Linked DNA regions of Nothobranchius furzeri. The protein of the gene in region 1 interacts with the protein of each later gene in a pairwise test. Links are inferred from orthologs where the notes say so. Each region holds a gene or a part of one and is shown in the gene's direction. Other genes may lie near its edges. The genes, in order: trim37, protein FAM107B, copb1, protein FAM124B, mcm10, pnkp and cwf19l2.

Region 1 (4,104 bases):
GTTTGGCTGAACTACATTGGCTTTTAGAATGGGACTTTGTCACTTAAACTGATCAATTTAGTTATTTAATTGTGCATTTTCTGTTTATAACACATGTGCAAGTGCATTTTAGCTGAAGGAAAATATACTTTTTCAGAAACAAATATGTTATTTTGGTGAGTACTAATGTGTCTTGTTAACATCACAGGTGCTGACTTTTCAAGGACTTTTACCTTAAATAAAAAAAGTTTCCTGTTTATTCCAGTTCGTGTTTTATGTAGTTAGTGTCTTTTATATTTCAAAAGCATTTTTTTTCTTTCAGAATTTAAAGTTAAATATCAGTGTTCTGTCATTTTCATTAACTGAAATGCAAAGTGCATGGTTAAAACGGTTATGAGTAAATGCAAATGAAAATAAAGAAAGACCTCGAATAATTTAGACACAAGTCTGATAATCATATCAGACCTTGGCTTTAATGAGTAACTGACCCCTGCAGACATGTGCAGAAGTGTTTATGGAATAAATATGGTGAAAGGCTTTAAATTCAAATGAGAATGCAAGCTAAGGTAAACTTTTTTCTTTCTGGTAGTCAAATAAGACGAGTGATTCTTTGACTGATAAAATCAGCTAAAGATTAGATTTATAAGACAGAAAAATGTGTCTTTGATGTGTGTTTTATGTGTAAACTTATTCAGAAGGCTGCCAGATACAAGATCACATAGATTTACTAAGATTAGTTTGTTTCATTTAATTTTTATGAGAAATTTTGTAGTTTTGTCATCTGATCAGCATGCCATCTGCTTTGTCCCAGACTGCCTCTGTGATTCTGTCAGTAGGCAGCAGTAAAATGTCCCACGGTTGCTGAATTCTGGCTGATTTCATGTTTCATAAATCATATAGACTTGTATGGTTAGTTTTTTTCTCAGTGATATTATGATTTAGTAATATTTTGGTGTATGTTTTAAGTTAAAAATAGCTACCTCTCATCAATAAAACACAATTTCCATGATATTTCAGAATTTCATTGACCATTTTAAGCAATATAATAAAAATTTTACTTAAAAAATGTATTGATCTTATGTAGAAAGTATAAAAATGCATAGATATTATTTTTTAATTAGAACAGAAGATCTGTTAGGAGATAAAAGAATAATCCTGAATCGTTGAAGGCAATGGGACTGTAGTAAAGGATCCACACCAAAAGGGGGCAATGATAACACTGGGTGACTCATCGAAACCAAAGAAGAAGAAGAAAAAAGAAACGGAGAAATGTGATTGGTTGTTGCTGGGGGACAAACTGCCTCAGATTAACCGCTACATCTTCAGTTTGGAACATAAAGTGGCCTATTTAATCGAAGCTGACCCAAAACAAGATTCTTAACGCTGTTTATTTTAGTTATATGTTTTTTTTATAAACTGGGGGAGGTGTCATGTAACACGATGTAGCCTCCTCAGACCGTTTGTTGATCAGGTGTAACAGACGAAGCCGAGTCCTCGAAAGGTGAGAAAACCGCTGCTAAAAGGCAGCCAGCTAGCTAGCTCTGGGTACCAATGTAGCTTTTTTTTTTTTTTTTTTGCTCATCATTTGATCAAATTTTGCCTTGTGTTTAATTGTATGAGTAGTTGTTATTTAGAGCAGTGACGGGCTTGTTTTCTGGTAAGTTATTCGTTCTTGTGTTTGCAGCTGACTCTGGGCCTCTTGATGGCTACCTACAATCTGCTATCACCAAGAAATGATAACAGCTTCTGGGAAGCAGAACCTGTAGTTTTTAAACATTTGTGCATTGCAAAAACTCTGTTAATTTGGTGTTTTAACTTTCATAAACATTACTATGTCCCTGCTATCTATTTACTGCACTTTGCGTAGATTATATTCTATTATTGCAGCTAACTTGGTCTATAGATATTTTATGTATGTTTTAGTCTGACGTGTTGACGTGGATGTCCTAATATGACACAGGGATGGACTTGTTATACTTCCTACTCAGTGTGCCATTCAGTTAATATCACGAAACACTTTGGGGTCACAGATTTAAGGGGGGAATTTGGTGGAGCTGGAAGCTTCAGGGACAGATTTCAGGGCCTCATCCTGTAGCTGTCAAAGACCACCACTTTTGTTTTAGTAATTATTTCTTCAGTTTGAAGTCGATTATTTTCACATCATTTTTGTATCCAGAGTGTACACACTACAGTATTTTAAGAAGTGTTTTGATGATGAGCAATTTCTGAGTTTTGAGCTGGTTGCATCAGTTGTTTCTTGGTTGATCTTCTTGTCCAGTTGAACAACAAATGGACAATATTTCTAAAATCTGTGACCGATAATAAATTCTCTTTAAATGTAACAAACATATCCATCAGTTGTGTGAATTAAAACCAGATTGGTTTAAACCTTTTACATTTTTTGCTACTGAGTGATTTAACCTGTTATCAAAATCAGAATAAACACTAATGACTACCAATTATTATGGAACAAAAACTGAGTTTAACCAAGCTCATAATTTTGAGAATTAAATTCATATACTTTTCTTTCAGACTACTTGTTTTATTCATCACCAAGAACCTCAAACTGGCTGAAATGGATGAACAAAGTGTTGAGGTGTGTATAACACATTCGGCATGAAAGCTGTATGATTAAATCTATTTCCAACAACTATTGAGCACAGTCACACACACTGTTTAGTCAAGTTGTTTTATTTTCTGCTGCTGTATTTGGTATTAAAAGTCTCCTTCTGCCTGTTTGCAGAGCATCGCTGAGGTGTTTCGCTGCTTCATCTGCATGGAAAAACTGAGGGATGCTCGGCTGTGCCCACATTGCTCCAAACTTTGTTGTTTCAGCTGCATACGAGTGAGTGGAACAACACAGAAAAGGCAATAATGAATGACAGATTATGTATTCTGCTATTAGCTGCAAATATATTCTTTAATTATGTGTGTAAATGTGCATCTCTGTTTGTTGTTGAGTAGATAAGGTTTCAGCTTGTTTTGAGGGGTTTAAATTAAAGTTGGAAGTAGTTTGTTGGGGGAAAATAGGAGGAATGACATTAGTATGTAGTTCTATTTAGAAAATTATTTCAGATAATCCCTTTTAGTAGCAAACTAGCTGCTCTAGTTGTCTTTACACCCTTTGTTTGAGCTGTAACTTCTTGTTTGACAGCGGTGGCTGACGGAGCAGAGAGCCCAGTGTCCACACTGTCGGTGAGAGCCAAAGATTTTTCTGCCTTCTTTACATCTTGTTGGTGAAAGTTATCAGTCATCCAGGTCATGGTAATCCAAAGGGGTTCAGATGAAGGCAACTGGACTGCTTTCTGATGAAGCCCAGTTGCCTTTATCTGAACCCCTTTGGTTTTACATCTTGTTTTTTTTTTCACTAACTAAAGAAGTTTCAGAGAGACTTACTTTTGACCTTTCAGTAATACATTGAATTAGAAAAAAAACAACAACAACAATAAATTCACAGTGGGAGACCATTAAGAAATCCATTCACAAAACTGTTTCCATAGTGTTGGGACTCAGAAGTATATAATAACTATGGAACAGCTTCCTGTAGCTTCAGAAACACATTTAAATATTTGTTATTCAGCTTTTAGGACATCTTACAGCATCTGGACTATTTCCATGTTCATCCCATACTGCCAGCTGATTTGTAAGGTGTGCAGCTCATGATGAAATATGGGTGTGTTGTGCACACAGAGCCCCGCTGCAGCTCAGGGAGCTGGTGAACTGTCGCTGGGCAGAGGAGGTCACCCAGCAGCTGGATACCTTGCAGCTCTGCAGTCTCACCAAACATGAGGACAACGATAAGGACAAGTGAGCAGCTCCCCCAAACGAAAAGAATAACCAACTTGGTTTCTTTTCTGCTCCCCACTCCTGTGTTTACTGTGTCATATGGTTATGGTTCTATTGCTCTGTAGATGCGAAAACCACCATGAGAAGCTGAGTGTTTTCTGTTGGACCTGTAAGAAATGCATCTGCCACCAGTGTGCTCTCTGGGGAGGAATGGTAATGTTTCACACATTTGGTTTTTAAAATACAGTACAGTACAGAAATGATCCAAGCTAAGGCTCCAGTGATTCCTAACTGGTTTTTGTAAGTTACAAATTGTAACAGTAGCTAAAACAGCATTAG
Region 2 (3,500 bases), on another chromosome or scaffold:
TGCTCTGACCAGAACCTTTACAGAACTAAACTGAACCAGATCTGCTCTCCTCTGACACCACCGTTGGACACCGCCTTAGACTCTGTGGACTCTTGTGAGACAAACAGCTGATTTGATTTTTCTGAAATATGAAGCAGGCGTTCACATTGATCTCTGGTTTCAGACAGAGAAAGGTCTCAATGAGGACATCTGATCTGTGTCTCCCAGAATATCTTAGGGTGAGGATCAGGTGATTGATAATCAGTTCCCTGTCTTCTGAGACAGTGGAGGACATTGAAAAGGACAAAGACAGAATGAGGAACTCAGGGCAAGCAAGGACAGACCAGCGTCTTAATTTGAACTAAGCTTAAAAACTGTCTTTTGTCCTCCATAGGCTGCTGTACCACAGAGGACCTTCTGTGAGACATTTTACAGGACAGCACATCTCATTGTTTTTAACACTGCCCTTATTTTTTGTGTCCTCTATGTCTTCAGCCTCTGCATATGCTGACCTGCAGCAGTGCCACTCTGAAGGCGTACACAGAAGGCCGTCCCCTGTGTCCAGCTACGTCCCCCCACCTGACTACCTGGACGAAGACGAAGACCTGATCAAACCCAAGAAGCTGGTGAATCCCGTCAAAGCTTCCAGGAGTCACCAGGAGCTCCACCGAGAGCTGCTGAGCAGCTGCAGACGGTAACGTGTTGTTGTCCTCACCTTTCTTAGACATAAGCACATCTGTGGAAAGGTTGAAATTCTTTTCAGGACATTCTGTTCTGGAAACCGTTTTCTGACATTATGAGATGTTTTTGACAACAAAGACAGTAGTCCCATATTCTAGCTGAACTTTTGCTGATAACTCGTCCATTTTCAGCTGCTTATCCAGAGTCAGGTCGTAGGGACAGCAGCCTAAGGTGAGAGGCCCAGACTTCCCTCCCCCCAGCCACTTGGGCCAGCTCCTCCGGGGAAACCCCAATGTGTTCCCTGACCAGATGAGAGACATAGTCCTTCCAGGGTGTCTTGGGTCTTCCCTTGGGTCTCCTCCCAGTTGAACGTGCCTGCAAACCCTCACCATGGAGGTATTCAGAAGGCATCCTGACTCGATGCCCGAGCCACCTCAACTGGCTCCTCTCGATGTGGAGGAGCAGCGGGTCTACCCTGAGCCCCTCCCGAATGACCGAGCTTCTCACCCTATCTCTAAGGGAGAGCCCAGCCACCCTGTGGTGAAAACTAATTTCGGCCGCTTGTATCTGCGATCTCGTTCTTTCAGTCACTACCCAAAGCTCATGACCATAGGTGAGGGTAGGAACGTAGATCGACCAGTAAATCGAGAACTTCGCCTTCTGGCTCACCTCTCTCTTCACCACGACAGACCGGTACAACACCCGCATCACTGCAGACGCAGCACCAATCCGCCTATCGATCTCACGCTCCATCTTTCCCTCACTCGTGACCAAGACCCCGAGATACTTAAACTCTTCAACTTGGGGTCAGACCTCATCCCTGACCTGGAGAAGGCATTCTACCCTTTTCCGAATCAAGACCGTGGTCTCAGATTTAGAGGAGCTGATTCTCATCCCAGCTGCTTCACACTGGTTGGGATGATAAACTTAACTTTTGCTGATAACATAAATCAGAAGTTTGTTCTTCTCCTTCTGGGTTCTTAACTGGGCTCAGACCAGAACCAGGGTCAGAACCAAAGCACACGCGAGCCCCCACAGCTGCTGATTGGTGCAGATTATCCTCCCCCTGACTAATGCTGACCAGTCAGGGATCACATGAAGACAGTTAGTATTTTTCTGTCCTCTTCATGGAGTCCAGGCTGTTTATTTGTGAGGAGACATGTCTATGTTGCTAAGCGACAGCCTCAGAGGCCTCCACCACCGCCGAGGATGATGGGAAAGTTTTCGCCTCCTCACAGAGGCTTATTCACAGACACACAAAGCCCACTGCACTCTTCCTCGCTGTTTTGTTCAGCAGGAAACAAAGATCACAGCAAGAAAAACATCCTCCACAACTTTATTCTGAACACGCTGCAGATTCACACGGAGCAGCCAGAAAAGAATCAGTCATCAGACCAACGAGCACAAACCCCTGGCTCACTGATCTCTAATCACAGAGACCCACAGAAAGGATTCAACAACCTGATTTTATCTTAGAGCTAGAACTTTAGTGATGCTGTGACAAGATGCCCACTGCTAGTTCAAACTCACACACAGATGTGCTCAAACATAAATATACAACATACATGACACATGATGTGTGTGTTTGTGCAGAGGAGGAACCAGTGTGGAGACAAAACCAGAGCTGCAGAGAGTTCTGGAGTCCAGGAAGAGGGATCAGCTGATCCGACAGAGGAAACAGGAAGAAGAGGCTCGCAAGAAGATTTCCCCTCTGGAGGCTGAGCTGCTGAAGAGGCACACAAAGCTGCTGGAGGTGGGAAACACGGCAACAACACGCTAACAATACACCAACAACATGCCAGCAACACACCAACAACACACCAGCAACACACCAACAACATGCCAGCAACATGTCAGCTACACGCCAACAACACACCAGCAACACGCCAACAACATGCCAACAACACTCCAGCAACATGCATACAACTCACCAACAACTCACCATAAACACGCCAACAACACACCGAAAACACACCAGCAGCATGCCAGCGACATGTCAGCTACACGCAAACAACACACCAACAACATGACAACAACAAACCAACACCAAAAACATGCCAACAACACACAACAACACGCCAACAACATGCTAACAACACACCAGCAACACACCAACAACACATTAGCAACACGCCAACAAGATGCCAGAAACATGTCAGCTACACGCCAACAACACATCAACAACATGCCAACAGCACACCAGCAACATGCCAACAACACGTCAACAACATGCCAGCAACACGTCAGCTACACGCCAACAACACACCAAAAACATGACAACAACATGCCAGCAACACGTCATCTACACGCCAACAACACACCAACAACACGCCAACAACATGCCAACAACACACCAGCAACATGCCAACAACATGCCAACAACACACCAGCAACATGCCAACAACACACCAGCAACATGCCAGCAACACACCAACAACATGTCAGCAACATGCCAGCAACATGTCATCTACACGCCAACAACACACCAACAACACGCCAACAACATGCCAATAACACGCCAACAACAAGTCAGCTACACACCAGCAACACACCAACAACATGCCAGCAACACACCAACAACATGCCAGCAACACACCAACAACACACAAGCAACACGCCAACAACACGCCAGCAACACACAGCAACACGCCAACAACATACCAACAACACAACAGCAACACGCCAACAACATACCAACAACACACCAGCAACACGCCAACAACATACCAACAACACACCAGCAACACGCCAACAACACGCCAGCAACACGCCAATGACACGCCAACAACATGCCAACAACATACCAACAACATGCCAACAACATACCAACAACACACCAG
Region 3 (3,500 bases), on another chromosome or scaffold:
TTGGCAACATCGGTAATATAGTTATTAATTTGTCTTATCAGCATAATTCAAATCATTTTATTTATATTTTTGTAATCAAATTGATTTCTTCCTCTAGTCTATGACGTGTCTGGAGCTGCTAGCGACAGGAACTGTGTTGTCCTCAGCGACATCCACATTGACATCATGGACTACATCCAGCCAGCCTCCTGCACAGACGCCGAATTCAGACAGATGTGGGCAGAGTTTGAGTGGGAAAACAAGGTCACTTTAGCTTTTCAATTTTGCTACAAATCATCCATCTTGCTTCAAAACAGCGCCCTTTCATGAATTTTTTTTTTTTTTTTTTTTTTTTTAAGAAATCCGTAAAGGTGATCGTCTTTCGTCGTTCTGTGATCTAAAGTAGTTCTTCTTTTTCTGGCTAAGCCCACCCTCCGTCCCACAGAGGCTCATGCAAATTCAATCAAGTGGCGCTCAGCGTTAGCTGTTAGCGTTGGACATCTGCTTATGCACTGATGTCACTGCGTGTGCACACGTTTCCTCGAGTATCTAGACTGATGCAGAGTCTGTAAGTCTTAAGTGTGTGTGCCACTGGCTACTTTATAGGGTACTGCAACAAGTATATCAGTAATTGTGTGACTACGTGATCCATCAGGACCAGATGTAAATCAGATCAGAAGTTAGGATCAGCTCACATGAGTAAGTGACAGAGGCAGGATGAGATGAGGATGTTGGTACCAGTATGGAGTATAATATAACAAATAATAACAATTCATACAACAAATATCAAGGAATGACCATTTGCAGATATCAAACTACATTCATATCAATTATCAATAGAATTCCATTAATCTTGTAGCACATGGTTGACGGCAACTTAAAACTCCAGCAGACTCAAGGACCAATGAAATTGATCCTAAAGAGTGAGTCCAGTGTCCTTGAGGGGGAGGGGGGGGGGGATTGTGAAGGAAGTGATTGGGGTAATCGCGGCCCGCTGTTTAATGACGGTGGCTACAGGAGCCTCCTACCAGCCCAACAGTGATGGAAAGGGTCCGATTCAAACCTCCTGGCTTGATTCAGGGCTTCTAGGCTTGCGGCCTAAAGTCTAGTGGGTAGCTCGCCATTCAAAGAGAAAAGACCTGGTCTGAAAGAACAGGACCAGGTGGTAAAGAGGTCATAGTGCACTAACATATCATCATCATCATCCAAATGAGCTCAGAATTGTTCCATATATTGTACAATACGTCATCCAAAAATAAAACATAAAAATTGTGCAACTCTCAGTTATTATCACATTGGATTGATTAAATGTACCCAAATAAGTCATTCAGATAACAATGAGTTCATCATTAACATCCAAAGCACAATCAAAGAGCATTTAAAGTGTATTAATATTTTAAAGTGAGAGTCGAGGTGTGGGTGGAGATGTATTTCATCCACTATTTCATCCACACTTCCTGTTAGGAAAACACTTCTGAAAGAGGCGTCGCCTGGCAGACCAAGAAAGCGGCACTGAGGCAGTGGTAGACCCCCCACCCCCACGTGTGCTGTCATAGTTTACAAGTCTAAGAACGATTTGTTAACGAGCGTGTGGACGCAAGCACATACTCACACAAGACTTACTGCTCAGGAGAAAAGCAGACACAGATTCTGCAGCATTCTGGAGGATTTCCTGTTAAACGCGATCATTAGATGAAAAGGGGAGGAGGGCATTTTTTTCAAGGAGGCGAGCGGCTCTGAGGGCTAATGTGTCATATCGGCAGGTGGGTGGCTGAGCCAGGTGGAGGTGCGGCTGCCTCACCTGGAGACCAGTGCAGTGCAGCCACGTAGTCATTTGCCGACAACATCACGTTTTTCGGCATAGTCATCAACCACAGCTGATTCTACATAAATGTGGAGCAGAGTTTTAACCTGAAGATGGAGATAGAATTATGGTTTGGGGCTGAAATGTTCAATTTAAAGTAAGTTGCACTAAACTGCCACACTAATGATTACACTGTACAGCGCCATTAGACACTTGTCTATACAGGTTATCAGCAAAAAAGTTAATTTAGGCATTACCGTACTTGCACTTTAAATAGCACCGTACATAATAACTCACTACAGAATAAACACATATTTTTTGCCATGATACTCAGTTTAACAACTAGAAAATCAACCACACTCAACACACAATTAAAAAAGTATTTGCCTTTAGTTACTTAAGAGGTTTTAGGGAAATCACAATAACACAGGCTAATCAGCCAAAATGCATCAGTACTGAAAGTTTAAGCTAATCAATTCAAATTCAAAAATACTTTATTAATCCCTGAGGGAAATTCAACTGTTTCAGTACACAATTCCAAGATCAGACATACATACATAGACACATGACAAGAATTGGTGACTGTGCTCATTTGCAACACGAGTCGCGCTACCGTTATAGATCAAGAGGGTTTATATCATCATCATCATCACCTTTATTTATAAAAGCACTTTACAGACATATATTATGTCACCAAGGTGCTGAACAAGACTAAACTGAAAAAGATAAAAACAAAGAATATATAGGAAACCAAATAAAAAAATAAAAAACAGCAAAATACAAAACATCAGTTAACACACAGATTTTAAAGCCAGATTATAATAATGGGTCTTCAGCGCCTTCTTAAAAACCTCTACTGATGTGGAGAGTCGCCCAGATAATGGAAGATCATTCCATAATTTCGGGCCTGCTACCGAAAATGCCCTGTCTCCACTTGTTTTGAGCCTAGTTGCAGGGACTAGAAGCATATGGTGACTCTCTGAGCGGAGCGAACGACTAGGTATATATGGCTGTAACAAGTCAGATAAATATTCTGGTGCCATCCCATTCAATGCCTTAAAAACCAATAAAAGAATTTTAAAACACACTCTAAAAGCGACCGGTAACCAGTGCAGATCTGCCAGGGTGGGTGTCACATTATGAGGATAGTCAGGGGGAGGGGAAAAAAGGCACTTCAGAGTTACCCCCGACAGAGAGGATAGCTTTGCTATGCAAAAAAAAAAACCACCTCAGACAGATATGCACACAGACTTTGGACGATACACAATGTTATAAGCCATCTTCCCAAGCTAGCCTAACTCTTCAACAGATGTTACGTCTCAGGGTTGACTTGCATTTCTATTTGCGTGGGCGTGACACCAGCCACTCTTTAAAATGCCCTCACTCTTGTAGGAGCTGATTAGCAATCACTGCTAACCTAGATTCTGATTCTGGCAAAACCAACTTTATGCAGCTCAAGGGAGACTCAGTTTACTCACAATCCATGTCCATGAAGCTTATGTACACTTCAGGTTAAGACTCTTGCCAGCTGTTCCTTTTATGCTGCGGAGACAACTGACTTTACCTGTAGCCTAGGATGGAGGAAACACATATCAGTTACACCTTGGGATGGCATTTACAACCAGCATCTCACCTTTGCTCGGTTACCGACAGGAAGAGACCCCACTCATAAATCCTTTTTTCATTCCTTGAATTCGAGGAACTAGGTTTTATTTCA
Region 4 (4,289 bases), on another chromosome or scaffold:
CTTTATAAATCCAGTTCCTTCTTCCATTCTTCCTCCACAATAATAATATTCCCAAGAGGACAAACAGATTAATGTTTTTTAAGATACCATTAAACTAAAGAGGCAAACCTATTCTCTTCTAAAAGGCTAAAAAGAACGCAGGTGCAGTAACATCTTTATGACTCTGGAGGACACCATTTTCATACAGTTGTTCTACGTTTTGCCAGCAGAGAGCGCAAATTCCCAATATTTTCAAGGCAACAATACAATATTTGTAGTATTTAGAGGAAGTCTTTCTACTATGGGACTCTTTAAACTTTTTGAATTAAATTTCTTGCTGTACTTCTACTGCTCATTCTCCTTCCTCCTAACCCTAATATTTGTCTGTCTGGATCTGAAAGTCCCACAGGAGCCTGGCTTTCTTTCGCTCTACCACCAACTCTGCACAGATGTTCTTGCACATGATGCCAGCAACTTAGTTGTGGCGTTCCATTTATGTTCTACCCTGCCAGGGCCTATTCCTGTGCAGCCATGACACGTGACATGAGTGCCTTTCTTGTGTGTGTGTGTGTGTGTGTGTGTGTGTGTGTGTGTGTGTGTGTGTGTGTGTGTGTGTGTGTGTGTGTGTGTGTGTGTGTGTGTGTGTGTGTGTGTGTGTGTGTGTGTGTGTGTGTGTGTGTGTGTGTTTTCCATGTAAATGTAATACCGATGGGGCAAGCAAAACAGGAAACATAATAGACAACAGTGTTGTCTATTATGAATTGTTGTCACAACACATAGCAGAGATTAATATCAAGTACTCAAAGCGCTGCATTTGGTTTCCAGGATCTAGACACATTCCCTGCTCATTTAAATCTGCCCAGCCGTCTGCCCTGTCTCCTTTGTCTCCTGCCATCTGCTCGGTCATCACAGCCGGGTGTTCTGACTATCCATATCCATGCTACTCGTCGATATGAGCCGCTGTGGGTAAATGCGCATGTGCAGACCGATTACTACGTCACAGGCTGTTTACCTGAAGAGACGCTAACTCTGGAAGTTGTTACATTACTGCTATGTTTACCTGACAGTTAGCTTGTGAAGGGCATGTAAATCGTTATTATACTATTGTAAACAATACATTTCCCCCATTGTTGACCTTCATTCACAGAATTATGACAAACACAGTCATTTTAATAAATAAACCACAACAAACACTGTATATTTTTGCTAATAATTACACTACAGTTCTGTATTTTTGAGTAATATCACCTATTTAAAATAAACTGCTTAATAAGTGTGTTACTGAACTGTAAACAAGGGCAAAACTGTCATAACACGCTGCGGAAGGAATATTCAACCGAGGAAGCGCGGATCGTCAGAACACCGGCTTTGCTTTGCTTTGCTCCACTTCTGCTCCCTTTCGCCCTGTAATTTACGCTCTGTAAGCAAACGCCAGTCTTTTATTTTCCGACCCGAACAAGAAGCACTGAGTTTCTGTTAGACATTGTTATCAGGATGGTGTTTAGCTCCCTGGTGACGTCACTGTCCCAGTAAGATCCCAGTACTTCTTCTTCCCTTCCCCTCTGCCAGTCTGTGGAAACAAATCCAGCAGGATGCTTGACACTCCGGACTGTTACAAAACCTGCTCAAACTCTCTTCCCCGTGCACAGGACCAAATGTGAGTGTGTGTACCGGGACAGAACACCGGACGATGTGGCGGAGAGTGGCGGCTTTGCGGTCAGCCGACAATGAAAACGTGGACTCCGGGGCAGAAACAGCCGAGTGAGTCAACTGTTGCCTCCGAGTTAGCTACAGGCTAACGATAGCTTCTGCTCCTCATCAGCAACAACAATGGAAATGAATTTAGCTCAGATTAAACTCCCAGTGACGGATGTAATAATTGAAGCCAGCTCCGTAACTTGTTACTAAACGTTTTTAGACATTCAAACCTCATTGTTTTGTGTCTTTTCCACGTCTTATCGTGATTTTGTTATTGTAAAATAACATTTTTTTAGTTCGTGGTAGCTAACAACAGATAAAGTGTTGTCATGGTGACCAAAGCAGCGACGGGCAGGTTTCCAAAGCAACCGCCACAAGATGGAGACAGATTTTTGTCTTTTCCTCACGAGTTATTCCTAAAATGTTTTTTATTTCGTGTATTTTTTCCAGATCTGGCTGCAGCAGGATGTCATCGTCTGGTAGTGAGTTTTCTGAGCTCATAAAAAACTAAAGCGTGTCACAGATGGAAGATTTTAACCTGAGAGTAGGGATGGGTAGCAGATTTATGCTCCACTATACCGATACTAATATTATCTCAGTTGTTTCTAAATATACTTAACACATTGTGTCTCATTTAGGTCCAGAAATATTGTGAGTATTTAAACTAAAATATGTTTAAAACATGCTGAAAAGTTTTACAGCTAAGCCTAAACTGACTTCTTACTGGTGCTTAAATTCCTTGAAAATGTTTACTTTTATGAGACATGGGCATGGAGTGATCGTAGGCATATGTGTACTGTGTATCTTTATTTTATATGAATTATGTGTTTGTGTGTAACTTCAGTGGAGCTGGTGACCAGGCAGACAAGGCAGCAACTCCTGTTGATGAACCTGCACCTACTTGCCAACCCTGGAGAATCTCTGCTGCTGCAGCAGACCCTGGACCGCCTGCTGCGCTGGCTGTGCCCAAGCCTGCGCATCTTCCATGTGTCAGAAAGAGCCTCTCCTTTCAGAGCTCCCGTGCACCTCTGTCCTGTGGCAGGTCTGAATCTTCAACATGCTGTAGATGCCACCACTTCTTTTCTATAGGCCTTGCTGAGAATGTTTAGTTTAATTTAATGACTTGTAGTCTGCTGTTGTTCATCATTAGCTCACATCGAACCGTTCTTTAAAATTTCCCAGGATACCCTTCTTTAGCCATCACCTTCTTCCTCCACGAGGCTTACGGAGAGGAGCGAATCCTAAAAGTGCTGGACTTCTTTCAGCGGCCACCCTGGCAGTACCATCACACCGAGAGCTGTGGCAGCCGAGCTGCAGGGATCCACATTACGTCTAGCAGTTCGTCCAACCCCCGTCTGCGGCCCTATCTCCTACCCAGCAGGGACTTCTACAGCCTGGGTGCAGGCATGCCTGTGTGGGGGGTACGGCCTGTGCACTGTGGAGGAGAAATACTGCGTGTGACGCTGTACAGTAACTATGACAACTACGAGGATGCTGTAAGGCTGTATGAGACGGTGCTGCAGCGGCGGGCGGAGGAGCAGAAGACGGGATTCTGCTGGTTCACCGTCCACACAGGTAGAACCCTCGGGTGGACATGGACTTGTTCTTTTCATGGGCAGAAGAGGTTGTTGTTGTTCTGGATGTTTATGCTAGTAGTCACACACAAATAAAAGCTGTCAGGAAAAGGTTCTTGTTGTTTTTGCAATCTTTCATAAGGAAAAGCTCAACTTTTAGTTCCAAAGTGTTTTGGGAAAAAATTGGCAAACATTAAAAGAAGCAGACACTTAATTCAGAAAATTTAGTTCTTATTTGTCACGTTTTCATGATTTCTGAGTAATTGCAGTTTCATTAGTAATTGTTCCACTTTTGCCTGTTTATCTCTTTGCGGTTCTGCACACAGAGCCAGGGCTGTGCCTCCAGCTGGCTCTGAAGCAGCTATCTCCTGGAGTTTGTGTGGAATCGTGCAGCTCCGCTGCTCTGCAGTTCAGCGTGGAAGAAATTGGACAACTAGTGCCACTGCTGCCCAACCCCTGCAGCCCCATCAGCACCACACGCTGGCAGACGGAAGACCTGGACGGTAACAAGGTTCTCTTTCAGGTCAGACCAATTTAAATTGTGTTTTACTGTTTATTTAAGCAATTTTTTTTAGCAGTTTCGATGTGATTTTGTAGTTTGTCACATAATCATAATCCTGTGCTGCAGGTGAAAACCGCGCCTCAACCTCAGCGACCTCTGACCTGTGCGTTTCCCCTGACCTATCTGAGCGTGTCCCCTAGAGGGATGCAGCTCCGGAGCTCTGGACAGGCCTACAGCTCGTCATCCACAACCCCACCGTCCTGGCAACGATACAGACAAGGTACAGTTTCAGAACAATTTGAACTTCCAAATTCAATTTTATTCATGTAAACTTAGACCTTAGGAGACTTTTCTATAGATCCAGGAGAGTTTTATGTGCTCATCTCCTGACCCTGTCGTGATTCTGTTGGGTTGTTTCCAGGAAACCGGCCCCGCAGCGATCCGGTCCTAGAGAAGCTTTCTGGAGCAGAGAGCCTGGGATCAGGGAGCTGCTGCAGCACTCCTCCTGGAAGCTCCTGCTACTCATCTCAGCGCAG
Region 5 (2,702 bases), on another chromosome or scaffold:
TTATTTAAATGCTAATCTGGATCATTAATACCAAACATTTCGAAACCTGATCAGTTATTCAGCACAAAGTTTAACTAGGCTGATGTTTAAGAACATAAATATACATTCAAACCAGGACCATGACTAGACCCGTTCTATAGGACCAGGACTAGACCCGTTCTATAGGACCAGGACAAGACCCGTTCTATAGGACCAGGACAAGACCCGTTCTATAGGACCATGACTAGACCTAATCTATAGGACCATGACTAGACCTGATCTATAGGACCATGACTAGACCTAATCTATAGGACCATGACTAGACCTAATCTATAGGACCATGACTAGACCTGATCTATAGGACCATGACTAGACCTGATCTATAGGACCATGACTAGACCTGATCTATAGGACCATGACTAGACCTGATCTATAGGACCAGGACAAGACCCGTTCTATAGGACCAGGACAAGACCTGTTCTATAGGACCAGGACAAGACCCGTTCTATAGGACCAGGACAAGACCCGTTCTATAGGACCATGACTAGACCTGATCTATAGGACCATGACTAGACCTGATCTATAGGACCATGACTAGACCTGATCTATAGGACCAGGACAAGACCCGTTCTATAGGACCAGGACAAGACCCGTTCTCTAGGACCAGGACAAGACCCGTTCTATAGGACCAGGACAAGACCCGTTCTATAGGACCAGGACAAGACCCGTTCTATAGGACCATGACTAGACCTGATCTATAGGACCAGGACTAGACCCGTTCTATAGGACCAGGACTAGACCCGTTCTATAGGACCAGGACAAGACCCGTTCTATAGGACCAGGACTAGACCTGATCTATAGGACCAGGACTAGACCCGTTCTATAGGACCAGGACTAGACCCGTTCTATAGGACCAGGACAAGACCCGTTCTATAGGACCAGGACTAGACCCGTTCTATAGAACCAGGACAAGACCCATTCTATAGGACCATGACTAGACCTGATCTATAGGACCATGACTAGACCTGATCTATAGGACCAGGACTAGACCCGTTCTATAGGACCAGGACAAGACCCGTTCTATAGGACCAGGACAAGACCCGTTCTATAGGACCAGGACAAGACCAGTTCTATAGGACCAGGACTAGACCTGATCTATAGGACCAGGACTAGACCCGTTCTATAGGACCAGGACAAGACCCGTTCTATAGGACCAGGACAAGACCCGTTCTATAGGACCAGGACTAGACCCGTTCTATAGGACCAGGACTAGACCCGTTCTATAGGACCAGGACAAGACCCGTTTAATGGGACCAGGACTAGACCTGAGCAGTAGGGACTATGTGGTCCTGTTTGGGGGGATGGAGGAAACACTGGTAATAACCTTTAGAACCACAGCCCTGTTCACACCCTTCTTAATAAAAAGTCATTTTCACTAACAGGAAATATGTGAGTCAAAATTTTCCAGAGATGCTTCATGCGTTCTGCACTGAGGGCTTCTGTTCCTGTTTGACTCCGCTAACATCTTTGCAGGGCAAAACCTTCAGCATATGGAAACTCAGCGACCTCCACAACCTGGAGGTCTTTGTGTCTCTGTTCCTGTTTGGTGACGTTCACAAGGAGCACTGGAAGATGGAGCTAGGCACGGTCATAGGACTCCTAAACCCCAACTCCATGAAGCAAAGAGATGGATACGACGGGGTGAGTGTGTCCTCTCACCTTTTAGGAGCTGTAGGAGGTGTAGTTTAGTAAATATTTAATAAATAGTTGTTTTCATCACTTAAGTTGCAATCAGACATCCAGCCGAACCATAGTCTGATTTGAGGATCCAGGCTGGAGAACAAGAACACCTTTATTTGCATTTTGTAGTTTATTATGTAATTATTACATTTTTGTTTGTTTTTGTTTGGCTTCATAAGTCAGCCAGGAAGAGCTGTACAGCCACTTCTTTAGGGAAATTCACTGCAGCATGCACTGGGGTGGGCCTGTGGTTTTCTATCAGAGCAGGAAACCGTAAAAAGATGGATCTTTACTTATTGTAAGCTGGATAAATGAAGAGTAAAACACAACCTTTAAGGTTTAGACACTGGGCTGTTGTCTGTAGGATAATGGTGCAGCAGTGGCTTGTTGATGTCTTTAGTTTAACAAACAATTCAGTCATCTCTACTTTGCTGTTAGACAATCAGTCTAAAATTATCACTATCAGTCTTAAAACAGCGACTCGAGCTCTTAAACAACTCTTTAACCAGATTCAACCTTTGGCAAAGCAGGGATGAAGGTCGAAAGTCTTGTGAATGCTGCAAGTTGATTCTCCCTCCCTAAAACAACAGCTTGTGTTTCCTCACAGGTGAGTTTGACGGTGGACCACTCCCAGAAGGTGCTGGTTATGGGTGAAGCTCAGGACTTTGGGACCTGTAAGGCTGTGAAGAAGAATGGAGAGCCGTGCTCTCAGATTGTTAACATGGTGGGTCCCTGCTCTCCTCCAGGCTCTGCTACACTTCTTTCTTTATTCTTTCATCACATGTTTTTTTTCCATTTGGACGTTTCTGCAGTACGAATGCCAGTACTGCCAGTATCATGTCAGAGCCCAGTATAAGAAGATGAGCTCCAAGAGAGCAGAGCTGCAGTCGTCATACTCTGGAAAACCCCCCAACAGGGTGAAGGGGAGGGGGGGGCTCAAAGAGCGCCTGTGTCAGGATGGTTTTTACTACGGCGGCGTGTCC
Region 6 (4,142 bases), on another chromosome or scaffold:
AAAAGGATCAGAAGGATTATCTATATGTAGATTAAAATCACCGGCTAAAATGATCCTTTCAAAGCAGTTGTGCAGGATTGATAAAAACTCTGAAAATTCTTGAATAAAAATGGCACTCTGCTTAGGAGGCCGATAAACTGTGACACATACAACCTGAGGAGGGCTAAAAACTGCTGCTGTATATTCAAAAGTGGTAAAATTATCAAACAGGTTTGGCAGAAAGTATTGATGAACTAATAAAAGCAGTACCGCCTTCCCTTTTGCTACTCCTCGTTGAACAATAAAAATTAAAATCTGGCGGAGAGGCCTCTGTGAGAACAACAGGTGCATCTGAACTCAGCCATGTTTCTGTTAAAAGCAGACAGTGAAGATTACGATCTAAAATCAGGTCATTTATTAAAAACGTTTTGTTCAGCAGGGAGCGAACATTTAATATAGCCATATTAATAGTAACTGGTGAAGGAGTGACTGTATTAACTGAGGGTGGGACTTTTGGTAACTGTTTTATTATTGGGGATGCTTTTGTTTGGTCCGAATCCGTTAAAACGGGTCAAACTCGTTGGCCCAGTTCTGGTCCCACTCAGCAGACTCACTGGCACTACTCCTCCCACTGTGTCCGGTGATGTTCCTGTGGCCTCTCCATGCATGCACCATTGTTCTGCCCGAGCTGTTCCTCCAGCTTCTTCCTGAAGCTGTTTTTTGCCTGTCTGATCTTATATTTAAGCTCCTTCTGGACTTGTCTACTCTTCTTTGTCACCAGCCATAAAAGCTTGTTCTCATCATTGGGACAGTGTTCTCTTCACAGAAGTTTACATAATCAGTCACACAGTGGGTCAGTGTGATGGCCACATCCATGTCCACACAACAGTGAACGTTAGTACACTCATGCACTTTTATGATTTCAGTTTGTACGTTTATTTCTTTGGATTTATTGTTTAGACGGCTTAAACGCATTAGTTCTGATTGTAAGCGTGCATATTTAGTTAACTGCTGTATTTTATGCCTGTCATTTGTTCAATTTAAGTAAATTTATGTTTTCTCTTACCGGTGCTGAGAGGTTCTCCACTTCCTGCTTCCTGAGATGGGACAGGCAAACAGTGTTGAAGGGGTTCCGTCAGCTAAATACAGGAGGAGCTGATGGGGCCAAACCAATAGCTCCATGAAGAGGGGACTGAAGGATTTCCTTTAGTTTATTATTTTGTCATTTGTTAATTAATTTAAAGGGTCTTTACGGAGTTTTGAATTTTTATGCTCGCGATTGCCCCCTCAGGCCAAAAGCGTAACGGCAGCTTCAATAGTAGGCTCGTGCACGAGGCGCACATGCTGTACGTGCACACCCCTTGACGAAAATAACAGCTGAGACAGTCCCTTGTTGTGTGTGTGTGTGTGTGTGTGTGTGTGTGTGTGTGTGTGTGGCCCGGAGGACAGGACAGGAGAACATGCAGCTATAATTTGGTTCTGTACCTTTTCTCTTCAGCACCAGTGTTGGGCAAGTTACTTCAAAACAGTAATGCATTATTTATTACTTGTTACCCTCATTTTAAAGTAATTCATTACATTACAATATTACTGATTTTAAAATGTAAGGCATTACACTACTTTTGCATTACTTTAAGTTACTTTCACCAAAACAACTTCAATATGAATCTGGTAATGTGACGCTCAGTGAGCTCATGACACATCCGATGGAAAGTGATGTGGTGTCTGAGCTAGGGTTGCTGTTAAAAACAGTCAGATATAATAACAGTGCTTTAAATGATTGTTTTCATGAAATAAAAGCAACAACAATCTGTACTCTCAGCACGCTGCCATCTTAGAATAACTGAGCAGGGAGAGAGGTGGTGGGGGCTCCACGCCTATATTTGCCTTGGTCCCCAAATGCCTTGATATGGCCCTGGATGTGGGACTGACTTGTGGGGTGATCTGATTCTGTCACATGTATAAATATTAAATGCTTATATATTATTGCTTTTCACTGGTAAAAATGTGTATTGGGGATAAATCTACCTATTTTTTTTCTTTTCAAGCACTTTGTTTTGTTTTCTTGATTTTATTTGAATAATTTTTGGCCCTTTCTCTCTCTAACTTCCCTGCATGCTGCATGTTTTCTCCGTCTTCCAGAAAAAACTGTTTCCTAGACTTCCTACTTTCTAACTATCAGCCAAAGGGATCTTCACATGCGCAGCGCTCCAGCAGTAATGAGCTGAAATCACCGGGGCCCAGATTAACTCAGATGAGGCAAAGCACGTCAGAAAAGCACAAAATATCAGAGAATATGCGCTGATATGAACGATCGCAAGTGAATTATTTTGTTTTAGTGGAGCGATTTTGTGAACGTTGCAGTGGCCACGTGCAGGACGCAGCTGGAGTAGTTGAGCCGTTACCGCGGCGTCCTCTCTGCCCGCAAAGCTGAGTCCATAAATGACGTAATATATACTGGATCTTTCTTCGGGTTTCCCGCAATTTGAATTTTTAAGGAACACATCTTGATTCTGGGTTTAAAAATGCATTGTAATTACCACGTTACTGACAATTGTACCGAGTAAATATTACCATTTTCTTTCCCTGTAATGCCTTACATTACCACATTACAGCAAAAAGCAATGCATTACAGTAATTAATTACTTTTGTACCGCATTACTCCCAACACTGTGTACCATGAAACCACTTCACAGTACTAGGAGTCCATTAAAACCTATAAAGAGAGTGATCCTGGAAGAAATGGGGCACACACTAGTGACCTCAACAATTGCAAGACCTTTTCCCCGATGCTCAGATGGGGAAAAAAAGGAACTTTCATGAAGACATTAGGACTTTATCACCGTTGAACAAAAATAATAGTGCATAATAATCAATGTTGATGTTAATCAATTAGATGTTCTAGACTCTACTTAATAATACAGCAGTCCCTCGTTTATCACAGGAGTTACGTTCTAAAAATAACCCGCCGTAGGTGAAATCCATGAAGTAGCCAACTTTATTTTTTACAATTATTGTAGATGTTAAGACTGTAAAACACCTCACTACATGGTTTATACACTTTTTTCAGACGGGCACACTTCTTAATGCTCTCTGATCGCTATGGTAATGCGTAAATAGTTCTTTCAAAATAAGACACACAACTACAACCATACATTTCACACAGGAGCCTTTTATTTCTCAGCAGCAACAATAGTAACAAAATCGCTATTTAGTTTTCGCTGTCAAAGTCGATTTAACTAAAGTTACGTGTTTCTGGTTACTGTGGAGGTCACGTGTTTCCGGCTACTGTGGAGGTCACGTGTTTCCGGTTACTGTGGCTTTCCACAGCGGCTGCAGCCAGATGCTTCTTGAGGTAAACACACGCTTCGCGCGAGCGTAAACGCGTGTAATAATTACCTTCTCTGTTGCATAAAACCAGTGAAAGATGTGCTCGCTGCTTGGCGCCTCTGGAACTCGGTTTCCTCTGGAGGACGGAAGAGCCGTGATTCTGGGCCGGGGTCCGGACACTGGAGTCACCGATAAGAGATGCTCCAGGCACCAGGGTGAGTGAAGACCGCATATCGGCTGTTCTCATGGATCCCTGGTTCAGCGGTGTGAGCGCTTGTACTTGTTCTTACTTCCTACTGAGGAACATCATGAGGTTTTAACCAACAGAAAAGCTTACCAGTTGGTTTTAGGTGTGTGTGTGTGTGTCGCGGTTGAAGGAAATAAACGATATATAAAAACGTACACCATCTGTAACTTACCAGAATGAAAATACTACAGAAGGTGACGTTTGGTCGCCTTACAGCTGCGATCCAACAAGACTTTGTTGAAGAAAAATGGGAGGTGTCCACCACCGCCATTTTGACCGTGTCACAGGTTCCCTCAAGCCCAGACAATTCCATAAAAGGGAAGAGAGGAAGAGCTGAGGGTGGGGCTGTAAGGCTGGGATCAACTGACGACACCCGGTCGAACTAGCTACAAGCAAAGCTAATGCGGAGGTGGGAGCTAAGCTAACGGAGGTAGCAACCTAGCTACAACCGGAGTTAACTGTGCACGACACCAGAGCTTCTGAGTCAGAGATACGCCGGGCTGACCGCTGGGTACAACCGGGTGGAACACAGAGGTTTCCCGAGAGCTCCACAAGCCGGCAGCCGCACAGCAGACAAGCGCCGCTG
Region 7 (3,500 bases), on another chromosome or scaffold:
TGTAGTTTGTAGCACTCATTATAATGTTGTAGAAAATTTCTGGCCAATCCACGTGATCGGTATCGGTGATCAGCATTCTTTGATATCGGTATCGTGATTGGCAGCAAAAAACCTGATCGGTGCATCCCTAGTCACGAGACAGCAAAACAATGTGATCATTTGTCAGTTGTAAGATGGCTTCAGGTTCACCCAAAGTCCAAACTCCCCGACGGGCGGCTTTCACTTCCTGAGATGTCTCTTCAGTTGGTCTTCTTCTGTCCCTCATCCTGTGCTGCTTGCTTTCAGTTGGACCACTCCTCTTTATCACCTGCCTGATTCCACTCACATCAGTAGGCTCTCGCTTATCTTTGCTTTCCTTGTGACCTCTTTTATTACCTCCATTGTTTCTGGCGTGCGAGAGCTTGCAACACTACAGTAAGTAGCCTGTGCTTTCATGAACTGTGCTGGCTGAGCTGTTGGAGGCCAGATGTCAGAGGATCTCTGCTCTGCAAAGCCTTCATTGTTTTGCCCCATTAGGCTAAGTTGTTTGGGTGAAGTGGCAGTCGGAGCCCCTGCAGCATGAAATGAGTCTACAGTGTGGGAGCAGATGGAAATGATGCTATGAGAAGTGTAATAGCCTAGAACGATGCTCTTCAGGCTGCAGCGTTGTTCCTCCCAGACAAGGTGGTAACCGTCGCCGGAGGGCCTCTTAGCAGATCAACAGTCAGCAAACGGCTACATGATGAAACTCACACCTTTAGGAAAGGGTTTCTTTTCGGGGAGGGGGGTTACAGAGAGGAGAAATACACAGACATATATAAATCCACTGTTTTAATTTTCACATTCTGAAAATAGTAAATGGTCTGTATTTGACATAGAGCCTTCTAGTGTTTTCTAGAAAAAAAACACCAAAAGAAAAGTTTTTTGTTTACAATAACAGTTTTGTCCTATTTGTCTATTAACTCATTCACTGCCAGTGACGACTAACGTCGTCATTTTAGATCCAACCGTTTACTGCCAATGACGACTAAAGTCGTCATTGGCATTTTTTAACTGTTTGGGCATCGGAACAAGCCCCCGCGCTGAGAGAACAAACATCTTAGCTCTGAAGCCGATCTTCATCCGCATACGTCACACATCACATGTCACACGACACATGATCAGGAAGCAGAACATCCATGTGTTAGGAGATCGTTTTGGGCCGTTCCTGTAAAAAAAAGTGAGACGCGAACCAGAAAAGCGTATGCCGATCACAGTTCAGCAATGGATTATGAAAGAACGGATAACGCTCGAAACACAATGATTCTTCCTGATGTAAGAGGCAAATATCCACTTTGTATTGGTTGTTTTGGTGTCGACATCATCTTAGAGCGCAACGTTCTGTGACTCTTAAAAAAAACAGTAAAAATGGTGAGAAATGCTGGCAGCGAATGAGTTAAATGTTTTTACCCAGGACTGAGAGTGAAAGTGAGGAGGAGGAGGATTTGCTGTTGCTGTCTGAGGAAGAGATGAACAAACTAGGGTCCAAGCTGATAAAGGCAGAGATGATGGGCAACACGGTAAGTTTATGATGTTTTACTGGCCCAGATTTTAGGTTTGACAAACTCTGTTCTGGTCTTTGGTTGGGTTCAAAAAGGTGCTTCCTTCTGTTTTAGCATTTTTCAGACGGATCTGCAGCTGGCATGTCCAAAGTGTAGCTCTCAGATGTTCCAGGAAATTAAAACCATTTTTAAGACATGAAAGTTTACGTCTAATTGAAAATGTTTTATTTATCACCTTTTCTTAGCCCAGTAAACTTGGAATGCTTCATTGGAACCTCCACAGACCCTAGCAGCATTCCAGCTGGCCAATCACAGCTCTCTACGGGGGTTTCAAATTGGGAGAGCACTGTGATTGGTCCACAACACTGTATCGGCTTTGTGGGCCAATTAAAGCTTTCTATTGGCATTGTGGGCCAATCAGGGCCCTCTATTTGTCTGGTGGGTGTGAATGTGCGACGGATTGAAACAAGATGGCGACAGCTTGTTTGAAACGGCTTTTACATCAGTTTGGACTATTAGGTCTTGGGCTTTATTAGAATCAGGACCAGAGAGATATATTTCAGTCCTTTTTCAAGAAAAAGGGTGTATTTTCACCTTCTTCAACAGCAGACCGCCACGTTTAGACATCCGTTGCGGTGAGTACGTCACGTTGTTCATTGTCCAGTAGCATGCAGAGGTCGTTTGAAAGACAACAGTAGAACACGCCCCACGACCGAGATCCGTCAATGGAGCGTTGCTAAGCTAAGCTTTTCTCCCTTTATTTTAACTTTCCAGCAAATGGGACAACAAACCCTCACTGTGAGACTTATTCATATGTTTTGACTAAATACAACAAACATTACTGAAGAGTGACCCAGGTCATTTTCTTGTAGCTGATGAGAGATTAAAATTGATATTTAGGACAAAAAAACAAACAAACCAGAAAACCATCAATCTGTTAAATCTTATTAAGATAAAGGTATGGCACTCTTTTCATGCCTCCCATCACAAAATAACTGTTTGTTTTATGAAATTATTGCATATTTAATGTATCGTTGAGCAGATAAGTATCTTCAACTTGTTGATTTTGGTCTATGATTTTTAAAGTTGTGACTCTAGCTCACACTGATGACTAAAATGTGCTTTTATAGTGTTAGCAGCTCGGATGAACGCATCAGAGGAGTGGTGAGAGACAAACAAACAAAAATACTAATGTCTTAATAAAACTCCTGCATTTTCCATGAGTGGTTCCTTATTCTAAGTTTAAAATCTTAGTTTGAGGATATATTTTATATCTTTTTTAAGCAGATGTTAAAAGGGATAGTAGCCAGTTTTGCTTTCTTTTACCACCCCTTAGTGCTCATTATTAAATTACTGTGGTTAAACCGAAAAGGAAACTTATCTCCTTGCTGTGCATTCGTCTTTGTAGCACCATGATCTAACAGCTGAAACGTCTCCTCAGCCTTCATTAGTGTCTACAGGAGTGATTCATCACTAAATTAAACAAATCAGCTGGGTTCATGACCTAAAACGTAGGAAACTTGCTGGAAGCAGACTGCAGCGTTAGGCGTGTCTAGGGATGGGTACCTTTGACATTTGAATCGATCCGGTACTAATTACCGGTACCTACGAATCGATACCGGTACTTAACGGTACCAATTTTCGATACTTTTGAGTGTTTATTATTTTAATTCTCTTTTATAATTAAATATATATTTTTCTCAATATATAACAATATTTGATAAATATCACGATAAATAACATATAACTGTTTGTATTTTAACATTGCCCTTGTAGTTTTATAAGCTGATAATTAAACTGAAGCAAACATCTTTACTGTGAACTAAATTTACTGTGTCTTCATTCCTTTTGCCATCTTTTTTCATTTGATTTTTCCTACTGGGAAGTTAGAATTTCCGAGGAGGAAGCGAACGCACCATTAGCTGATAACAATGGTGGCAATGGAAGCTAACATATCAAGCTAACGATATCTTAAACAGT

The links.
Region 2: the proteins of trim37 (region 1) and protein FAM107B interact in binary tests that used the Homo sapiens proteins (3 or more experiments, as listed by UniProt). The two-hybrid records come from large-scale screens. The link is inferred for Nothobranchius furzeri from reciprocal best matches to the Homo sapiens genes TRIM37 and FAM107A.
Region 3: the proteins of trim37 (region 1) and copb1 interact in binary tests that used the Homo sapiens proteins (3 or more experiments, as listed by UniProt). The two-hybrid records come from large-scale screens. The link is inferred for Nothobranchius furzeri from reciprocal best matches to the Homo sapiens genes TRIM37 and COPB1.
Region 4: the proteins of trim37 (region 1) and protein FAM124B interact in a two-hybrid assay, tested with the Homo sapiens proteins (2 studies listed by BioGRID and IntAct). The link is inferred for Nothobranchius furzeri from reciprocal best matches to the Homo sapiens genes TRIM37 and FAM124B.
Region 5: the proteins of trim37 (region 1) and mcm10 interact in a two-hybrid assay, tested with the Homo sapiens proteins (2 studies listed by BioGRID and IntAct). The link is inferred for Nothobranchius furzeri from reciprocal best matches to the Homo sapiens genes TRIM37 and MCM10.
Region 6: the proteins of trim37 (region 1) and pnkp interact in binary tests that used the Homo sapiens proteins (3 or more experiments, as listed by UniProt). The two-hybrid records come from large-scale screens. The link is inferred for Nothobranchius furzeri from reciprocal best matches to the Homo sapiens genes TRIM37 and PNKP.
Region 7: the proteins of trim37 (region 1) and cwf19l2 interact in binary tests that used the Homo sapiens proteins (3 or more experiments, as listed by UniProt). The two-hybrid records come from large-scale screens. The link is inferred for Nothobranchius furzeri from reciprocal best matches to the Homo sapiens genes TRIM37 and CWF19L2.

The regions. Positions count from the first base shown.
Region 1 is NC_091750.1:52,480,721-52,484,824, reverse strand, and holds the start of trim37 (E3 ubiquitin-protein ligase TRIM37), read left to right. Parts: upstream 1-1,304; 5' UTR 1,305-1,480; intron 1,481-2,511; 5' UTR 2,512-2,554; coding exon 2,555-2,575; intron 2,576-2,722; coding exon 2,723-2,824; intron 2,825-3,133; coding exon 3,134-3,174; intron 3,175-3,669; coding exon 3,670-3,786; intron 3,787-3,890; coding exon 3,891-3,978; intron 3,979-4,104. UniProt on the Homo sapiens protein: E3 ubiquitin-protein ligase required to prevent centriole reduplication. Probably acts by ubiquitinating positive regulators of centriole reduplication.
Region 2 is NC_091743.1:77,097,330-77,100,829, reverse strand, and holds part of protein FAM107B, read left to right. Parts: intron 1-474; coding exon 475-673; intron 674-2,253; coding exon 2,254-2,413; intron 2,414-3,500. UniProt on the Homo sapiens protein: Stress-inducible actin-binding protein that plays a role in synaptic and cognitive functions by modulating actin filamentous (F-actin) dynamics. Mediates polymerization of globular actin to F-actin. Also binds to, stabilizes and bundles F-actin.
Region 3 is NC_091749.1:61,877,254-61,880,753, reverse strand, and holds part of copb1 (coatomer subunit beta), read left to right. Parts: coding exon 1-12; intron 13-97; coding exon 98-243; intron 244-3,500. UniProt on the Homo sapiens protein: The coatomer is a cytosolic protein complex that binds to dilysine motifs and reversibly associates with Golgi non-clathrin-coated vesicles, which further mediate biosynthetic protein transport from the ER, via the Golgi up to the trans Golgi network.
Region 4 is NC_091753.1:33,488,154-33,492,442, reverse strand, and holds the start of protein FAM124B, read left to right. Parts: upstream 1-1,489; 5' UTR 1,490-1,669; coding exon 1,670-1,740; intron 1,741-2,127; coding exon 2,128-2,159; intron 2,160-2,521; coding exon 2,522-2,719; intron 2,720-2,859; coding exon 2,860-3,252; intron 3,253-3,577; coding exon 3,578-3,774; intron 3,775-3,879; coding exon 3,880-4,033; intron 4,034-4,174; coding exon 4,175-4,289.
Region 5 is NC_091741.1:61,273,881-61,276,582, forward strand, and holds part of mcm10 (protein MCM10 homolog), read left to right. Parts: intron 1-1,512; coding exon 1,513-1,680; intron 1,681-2,326; coding exon 2,327-2,443; intron 2,444-2,531; coding exon 2,532-2,702. UniProt on the Homo sapiens protein: Acts as a replication initiation factor that brings together the MCM2-7 helicase and the DNA polymerase alpha/primase complex in order to initiate DNA replication. Additionally, plays a role in preventing DNA damage during replication.
Region 6 is NC_091753.1:66,391,843-66,395,984, reverse strand, and holds the start of pnkp (bifunctional polynucleotide phosphatase/kinase), read left to right. Parts: upstream 1-1,342; 5' UTR 1,343-3,334; exon of another isoform or gene 3,335-3,400; 5' UTR 3,401-3,406; coding exon 3,407-3,524; intron 3,525-3,728; exon of another isoform or gene 3,729-3,993; intron 3,994-3,998; exon of another isoform or gene 3,999-4,142. UniProt on the Homo sapiens protein: Plays a key role in the repair of DNA damage, functioning as part of both the non-homologous end-joining (NHEJ) and base excision repair (BER) pathways.
Region 7 is NC_091753.1:35,494,906-35,498,405, reverse strand, and holds part of cwf19l2 (CWF19-like protein 2), read left to right. Parts: intron 1-1,432; coding exon 1,433-1,538; intron 1,539-3,500.